Linked DNA regions of Saccharomyces cerevisiae S288C. The main gene of each other region encodes a partner of the protein of the gene in region 2 in a complex. Each region holds a gene or a part of one and is shown on either strand. Other genes may lie near its edges.

Region 1 (3,717 bases), on a different chromosome or scaffold from region 2:
GTCTCATGTTGTTCGTTTTGTTATAAGGTTGTTTCATATGTGTTTTATGAACGTTTAGGATGACGTATTGTCATACTGACGTATCTCATTTTGAGATACAACAGAATGAGTGGTATTAAAGAAATAAGGAATACCATAAGGTTGATCAAAATTAAATATTGGAAGGAAGGTAACTAGCTTTTTGACTTTATTATTGTTGGAACTAATAATCATTAATATTCGACACTTTAAAAATTTTTTATAAGATTAATATCGTTGCAATTAATACACCGTTTGTTGCTATGCTAACAATGTGAATACGCACACCGTATATTTATGTTCATTTCGTATATGTTTTTGCATGGGTGTGCCTTTTGCAGAAGACAGAAATGTTGTTCTGGCAAGGGAGACAATAGTTCAGTTGAGGTAAGGCCCTATTAGTTGAACATTAGAGTGCAAGTCATATATATGAGTAAAATGGGTGTCACATTAAATATATCGTGACTACCCAATCTTCTATTGTATTGGTGGTATTTAAGGTGAACTAATCCGCATGTGTTTTATATAATTTCAGACAGAAACAATTATCCTTAGTGAAAAAAATAAGAAAATTCTGGTTCGGTTATTGAGTTATTTTAAAACCTTATTCCTAACAGCAGCTTTCACTATTTCCAGTGACATTTATGCCCGGTATAATGACCATTGCAATAACATGTATACATGTAATTCCAGGTGCATCATTTATGCTTCTGGCACTTACAGTATAGATTTTAATACCAAAAAATGGTATCAGTAATGTTACCAGCGATTTCTAACCAAATGTGACTGGTATTACTATTAGGGTATTCGATGTATCAAATGTTACTATCATTATCACTATTGTGGATATAGTATTGGGCTCTATCACGATACTCCATTTAACTCCTACAAAGAGGTTACGCTCGGATGAAATGCCTTTGTTTAACACCACAGCAGCTAACTGTGGCTACAGGGTCGAGGACTATATCTGCACTTTTATGGTCATTACTAAGAATACTAGAGAAACTTACTGTACGATACAATTCAAATGACAAAACCTCCTCTCCTACGGATTGTGCCTTTGATCATAAGATTAACAATGTCAAGAATGTTCCTCTCCTTTTAAACATCATTGGAAAATTCATTATTTAAATATATAATGAACCTGCCGACCTACTTCAACATCGCCTCCTTAGCGTATCCTTTCCGATTCTAAAAGGTTAATTTAATTGATTAAAAGTAAATTTATATTTATATATTTAGATAAAAGAAGATGATTTTAACTACACAAAAAAATAAATTAACTTACTTTCTTCTGAAAGAAGTACCTTCAGATAATTTGGCCTTACCACCGGTTGGAGTACATAAGACAGTAGAGCATGATTCACAAGTGACAGCAGTTTGAGCATGAGAAAAAACAGTGGTGATGTTCAAACAACCTGGGCATTTGACATCCAAGAAGTAGGATCTTGGGCCTTGAACCAAAGTCTTTAACTTGTGCTTTCTGGCTTCAGAAGCAGCAGTTGGGTGCAACAAATCTTGAACTAAAACCTGTAATGAAATAAATAGAAACGAAAACGAAAGTCGTTTCACAAAAAAATTGATGTTAGTAATTTGAAAACTGTAGGGTTGGGTAGGATACATCAGAAAAGTTAGAGGAGACAGGAAAAAGTGAGCATTTGTGCTCCAAAAAAAGAAGGATAAATCATTACCCAGCAGTATCCGGCATCATGATCCGCCATCTTCAACTGCTATAAGTTTCTATTATTGTTAGATTACCCATAACTCAACACCATATGCTTATCTCCACAGTAGATCTCAAATTTTCTGCTATACAGAGCCTTTCAATTCCCTATCTAAAAATTAATTGCTTTCTTTGCACGTCTTTAAAGTCTCCGTTACCAGTTTAATGCATGATTTGTTGATTTTGCGGAAACGCATACTCCTATCAAATGTCAGAGGTTGATTACTGCTTTATTTTCCTTTCTTTCTTTTTATTTTAGGCTTTTTTCTTCTACTAGAATTTCATCCGAATTCATTCCTCAAATATTGTTCTCTTCTGTTTCCTTCACATCTTATGTTTAATATCTCTTTCACATACCATATTGATCTAATATATATGCACTAATTATCTGGTGTGTTTTCGTATTCTCTAAATAAAAGCAAATGCTATATAGAACTTTTAACGTCTAATATCAATTATAGATAGTGTTAATGACTTGCAAGTTACAGCACACATGAAAGATGAGAGCATACTTACTAAACTGGGCCCAAGAAAGGTCAGCGGGAAGCAGAGGGGAATTGCTGCATTTCCCACCACGTCCTGGTGGGAGTTTCCTTTCCGAGAGCCACATTGCCTAGCTAGAGGAAGAGAGCCTTGGGCGGGGCGGATCCCGTCTAGATGGGTGGCAAACAAAAGTTTATGGTGGCCCGTGTTAAATGCGAACACACCTTCCTTTTTTCTTCTGAAATTTCCCCGGCAGATTTTTATTAAATTTTTTTCTTTATAATCCAATGGTGCATGGGTGAAAATGTATGGGCTAAATACAAGAAAGGATGTCAATATTTCTTTTTTACGCGGAAGGTTATAATAGACGTAAGTAATATGGAAAGAATTTATGGGATTTATAAAATAGATAATAAGTAGATAGCTGTCACAATGAACAGATCTTTTCACTTTCTAATAAAGTACATATATATACATGTTCTTCTTGTTTTTTATTTTCACATTAAGCAGCAGGCTATTATGCCTTTTTTTATTTTTTTCTTTTCATCATTCGACGGACTTTCATTTGACCTTCGAGTGGTAGCGTTTTTAGCCAAGCACGTTTTCGTTGGCGTTTGTTCACCCTTTTTTGTTGTAGGTTTTTTTGGTTCATCTAGAGTAGTTGTTACTGAATGGCTTTCGAAGCTTGTATTACCTCCTCCTCCAGTTTCAATAACACAGGTCTTCTCTTTGTCACGTAAGAGAGGCGAATTCTCCAGCGGATACATCTTGATTATAAACCCTTACAAAAGTTTCCTGCGATCACTTTTAGATTTTTCAATTTTCAATAATACTGCCAAGAACAAATCTTCAACATTTACATTGAACTTGGAGGATGTCTCAAAATAGTCTAAATTGCCTGGCGAGAAACCCAGCTCTTGGATAAATGTTAAAACCTTTTCATGAGTAATTGTTCTTTCCGAATCAAGATCACATTTCGTACACGCTATAATAATTGGAATATCCAATTCACATTCCAAACGTACGTGGTGAATAATACAAATATAAGACTCTAAGCTGGCAAGAGAGCTGTCATTAGTAGAATCGAAACATAATATAATTGCATCAGACTGCCTAATTTGAAGAGTAGTTAGCTCCGAAAGGTACGAAACCTCCATTTGATTGGTATCAAAAACTTGAACATCAATACTGGTGCGTCTTTGAGCAGTCGATTTATTGGCATTGATCAGGCGCTCTTCTAGGAAATTGCCACAACTTTCATAAATTGTGCCAGAGTTTTTAGCTTTGAAACCCGCATAATTCGGCAACTGTCCTTTTACGCCAAAGGTACGATAGTATTTTACCAAAGTATCAAATTGGATTGTCTTGTGGTAGAGGTCCGAAACCCTATAACGATTAGCATCTGATATTTGAAATGAACTACCTAGCCAACTGCGAACCAGAGAAGTTTTTCCAGAATGATCATCCCCCATTACAGTAATCTTCGAAGATTT
Region 2 (4,401 bases):
TTCCAGTTCTAGGACCACAACTGTCAACAAAGAAGCCAAGACCCCCGGTTAAGTCTAAACCAAAACATCTACAAGATGGTACTGGATGGAGCACTTTTGAATACGGTTATATGAAAGGTGCATCTCAGGCTACTGAAGGAGTGGTGTTAGGACAACGGAGAGATATAGTTTAGAGAATTATTATTAACACTTTCTCTGGCAGAAATTGATAAATAAACATTTAAGAACCCTATATACGCAACCAAAGTTCCTTTGATATATTTTAGTTTTCCATCAAAGTTTTCCTACATAAACACTAAGGTGGCTAGAGACGCGTAACAAAAGTTAACGTTACCGGTAAAAATGTGATTATACAAATCAATCTCACAGAACGGTGTGGAAACAAAGTAGTTGAAGGATTTCAACTATGCGAATCAACAGTGAGCTAGCGAACAAGTTTTCTGCCTCAACGGTGCACTTAGAACATATCACAACTGCTTTAAGTTGTTTAACACCTTTTGGTTCTAAAGACGATGTGCTTATATTCATTGATGCTGATGGGCTGTCATTTGTCAGGGAGAATAATCATGTGATAAAAATCCAACTACTGTTATCTCGGGAGCTATTTATGTCTTATTCGTATAGAAATGAAACTGAGGATCACATGAAACTTTGTGTAAAAATAAATCATATCTTAGATAGCGTTAGCGTGATGAACAGGAATTCGGATGACATTGTTGAGTGTACTTTATCTTATGATGGACATGGATCACCATTTGTACTAATATTTGAAGACTCGTTCATTTCTGAGAGAGTGGAGTACTCTACCTACTTAATTAAGGATTTTGATACTAATGGACTAGAACTCGATAGAGAAAGGATAAGCTTTGAGGCAATTATTAAGGGCGAAGCCCTTCATTCAGCCTTAAAGGATCTAAAAGAAATCGGATGCAAAGAGTGCTATGTATATGCAAAGACCGAGGCGAATGATGAGAATGTATTTGCCCTGATATCTAAATCTCAGCTAGGATTTTCTAAAATAAAATTACCCAGTAACAGATCCATACTAGAGAAGTTACAAGTATTTGACGGAGATTCCACAACAGTAATAGATGGTTTTGCTGTAATTGGGTTCTTCGATTTCACCTCGTTTGATAAAATCAGAAAGAGTACTAAAATTGCAAGCAAAGTCCTTTTCAGGATGGATGTTCATGGCGTATTGAGTGTAAATATTCTAAGTCAAACAGACGATGTCATTATCACTGATACTACAAGACCTTCAAATAATCGACCAGGTAGTATTCGCCAACTGCAGCTACCCAAGGATTATCCCGGTATAGTAATTGAGGTTTGCATGCTAGAAAAAGAATCCATAGATGAGGCAGCACAGACAGAAATAGAACTCCTGATGGAGACTAATGAACTTGGCAATCGTAATAGTTTTAAAAAATCAACTATAAGAAAAAGATATGGTACAGATAAAGGCAATGAAACTTCAAATGACAACTTGCTGCAATTGAATGGGAAAAAAATTAAACTACCATCTGAAGAAGAAAACAATAAAAACAGGGAAAGTGAGGATGAAGAGAATCACTGCAAGTATCCAACAAAGGATATTCCTATATTTTTTTAAGTCAATATCCAGCATCGCAGAAAACGCAGAACTTCATTCAGCATTTGGTAATTTTATAACATATAACTTACAATTAAATAAAAGTTTAACTATATATTATTATGTGATCTAACTCTAGAAAAAGTACTAATGAACATCACACCGTTTATTGTTGGGAGAAGTGTTCCATGATCATGGACAATTCATCAGTTTCAGCACCCCAGTTCTTGACAACAACAACGGAGGCACCGACAACCTTTCTGGCGTTACCTTCACGGTCGATCTTACCCAAACCAGCCCATTCACCTAATTGCTTAGCATCAGCAACCTTGATCAATGGAACCTTGTTTTCTGGGTCGTTAGCCAAACCTTCAACCAACTTGATAATGTTAGCTTCAGTAACAGAGCTGACCAAAACAACCAATAAAGCTTCACCTCTGGTTAAAGCCTTGGTAGATTCTCTCAAACCTCTAGCTAGACCATCGTGAACCAAAGCGGTTCTCAAAACAACCTTCAAAGCATCTTCGATAGTAACTTCGGCAGTTTGTTCAACAACAGTTTCTTCTTGAACTTCAACGACTTCTTCAACGTCAGACATTTTTCTTCTCAATAATATATAGTCTAGTTTTTGACTTCTTCGACAGTAAGATAATTAAACTGCTCCGTGAAGAGTTTTGAATTGGGAAAAACAATTGAACAAGGAACACTTATAGACCTGTTGTGATAAGAGATGACATAACTTTTATAATATGTCCTGCGGAGAATTCGATGAAATTTTGCAAATTGTAAGTTTGCTTGAAAGTTTGCTTGCGGGTAAGGTATTCTGAAAAAAATAAAATGATTCCACAATGGAAATGTGAAGATGTTGTAAACAAATCAAATGTACGGATGCACAATGGTAAACAGTACTGGATTTCTTTTTATATCACCGTTGAGCCGAAACAAACCCCGAAATAACCATTTAATATGCCAAGATGTACAAACCTCGTCTTTGCTTATTCAACTGCTACATTCGCAATACCTCAATAACGAGGTGCGTATATACATGAAGCAGAATTTTTTTTTACATATATATACTATTCATTAACTTGTAAGAAGACATTAATCACCGTTTCCTGAAGGGAAAAAAATACTAAATAGAATATGTCTTGCTCGTCATATCTCCATTTCACCTACAAATTCACCGGAACCTTCCATATTGACATCGTCGTCATCGTCTATGGCATTTTCAAATTGTTCCGCATTAGCAACGCCGCTAGCCTGTATTTCATCCTCATCTTCAAAATCTAAATCGAAGAAGTCATCATCACTGCCAACTATCTTTTCGTATAAAACTTTGGCTGCGGTGACTACTTCATCATACGATATCTCAGCAGAAGGCATGGTTGTATATATGACGCCATTATCACTCGCACCGGGAATATACTTTTTTTCCAAATCTTGATTTACATCAAAGAAGGAGGAGTTAACTACACCAAAGGGTGGCGTGGATGTGTATTGGGTATAATAAAGTTTAAATAAGAACTGTAATCTTTCCCTAGGAACATACTCCTTAAAAGATTGGCCTAACTTAACTGAATTTACTATTGTATGACCATTTCCCGTTAGTTGAACAATTTCTTCGTCGTTCTCTAAACCTGAAGACGATTCCCTTAGCAGGGCCATTTCCATAGCTTCTAGAGCGGCATCAATGTCCATTTCAGCACGTGGGCCTTGTTCTGTGGTCGATAAATACCATACAATAGTTCCTTCTGGACAAATTTCGCTGCCAGCACCGAGAATAAAGGCTTGTACTACTTCCTTATTACCAGATTTCAAAGAGCCAGGAGGGAAGACTACCATGGCGGCCGATTCACCCTCATTGAACCATTCAGTACAGGGGTTTTCAACTATACAGGTCAAACGATGAACCTGGTACTGTTGTTGAGGGACATGCTTACTGTCTTTAGGTGCTTGCGTAGGCGATATTATCACTTTCTCTGAAACTTCAACTTTGGATCCATCTTGGAATGTGGCCACTTTAGTTGTAGGGTTGAAGGATACCAATTTCTCATTGAGTTTGTAAGTAGCGCCACCTACAGCGGCAGATCTACAAAACCCTTGCGACAATTCTCCTGGCCCACCATACTTGGAGCATAGTGCAGGGAATGGTCCATAAACATCGAAACTAGTTAGATATCGACGAATCCTTTGTAAAGCTTCTGGTACTTTTACGTTGAGATCATAACATAACCCAATTGAGAAGATTAATTCGAAGACTTGTGGTTTTTCTAATTTAAACTTTTCCCCTAAAAAATCAGACATGGTCCTCTCCGCGTAGGGTTGCCATATTTCCGTTTGTGCTTCCCAGTTGAGTACGAATTTGATAAATTTCATTAAGTTCCTCTTTGTCATTAGTGGTAGGTTTTGATCCGTGAATATTTCTTGCTTTGTATTTGTTAGTTTTTCGAAACAATCATTTTCATAAGTATGGAAATTAGATAAAGATTGGAATTCTAAATACTGGTGAACTCTTGATTTGATTAAGATGGATAATAAATCAGATTTTGCAAATAGGATCTTCGGGGAAAGATCAATACCGAAATCTCTTGAAGAATATTTACCACTACCGATTAGCGTGGATACATACAACTTCGCATTTTTATAGCAACTTACTGAGCCTTCATTAACTTCATTTACCCATCTTTTGATTTGGTCTACAGTTAGTGTGGCTGAAGTGTCACCGTAATAATCATTCTTATCAATATGAAGGACATTGGAACCTTGCCAAGCTAATGCAGCAGCCAATACACTCTCTACCATACCAGTCC

The links. Proteins that work in one complex are often made in the same cells at the same time.
Region 1: RPS12 (region 2) and RPS27B share a complex: the UniProt entries of both Saccharomyces cerevisiae proteins name them as parts of the small ribosomal subunit.

The regions. Positions count from the first base shown.
Region 1 is NC_001140.6:146,569-150,285, forward strand, and holds RPS27B (40S ribosomal protein eS27 RPS27B), read right to left. Parts: upstream 2,102-3,717; coding exon 2,099-2,101; intron 1,549-2,098; coding exon 1,303-1,548; downstream 1-1,302. Other genes in the region: ECM12 (Ecm12p), read left to right, coding at 2,657-3,112; YHR022C (uncharacterized protein), read right to left, coding at 3,007-3,717. UniProt on the Saccharomyces cerevisiae protein: Component of the ribosome, a large ribonucleoprotein complex responsible for the synthesis of proteins in the cell.
Region 2 is NC_001147.6:1,026,437-1,030,837, forward strand, and holds RPS12 (40S ribosomal protein eS12 RPS12), read right to left. Parts: upstream 2,190-4,401; coding exon 1,758-2,189; downstream 1-1,757. Other genes in the region: SCP1 (Scp1p), read left to right, coding at 1-173; RAD17 (Rad17p), read left to right, coding at 407-1,612; GTPase-activating protein MRS6, read right to left, coding at 2,747-4,401. UniProt on the Saccharomyces cerevisiae protein: Component of the ribosome, a large ribonucleoprotein complex responsible for the synthesis of proteins in the cell.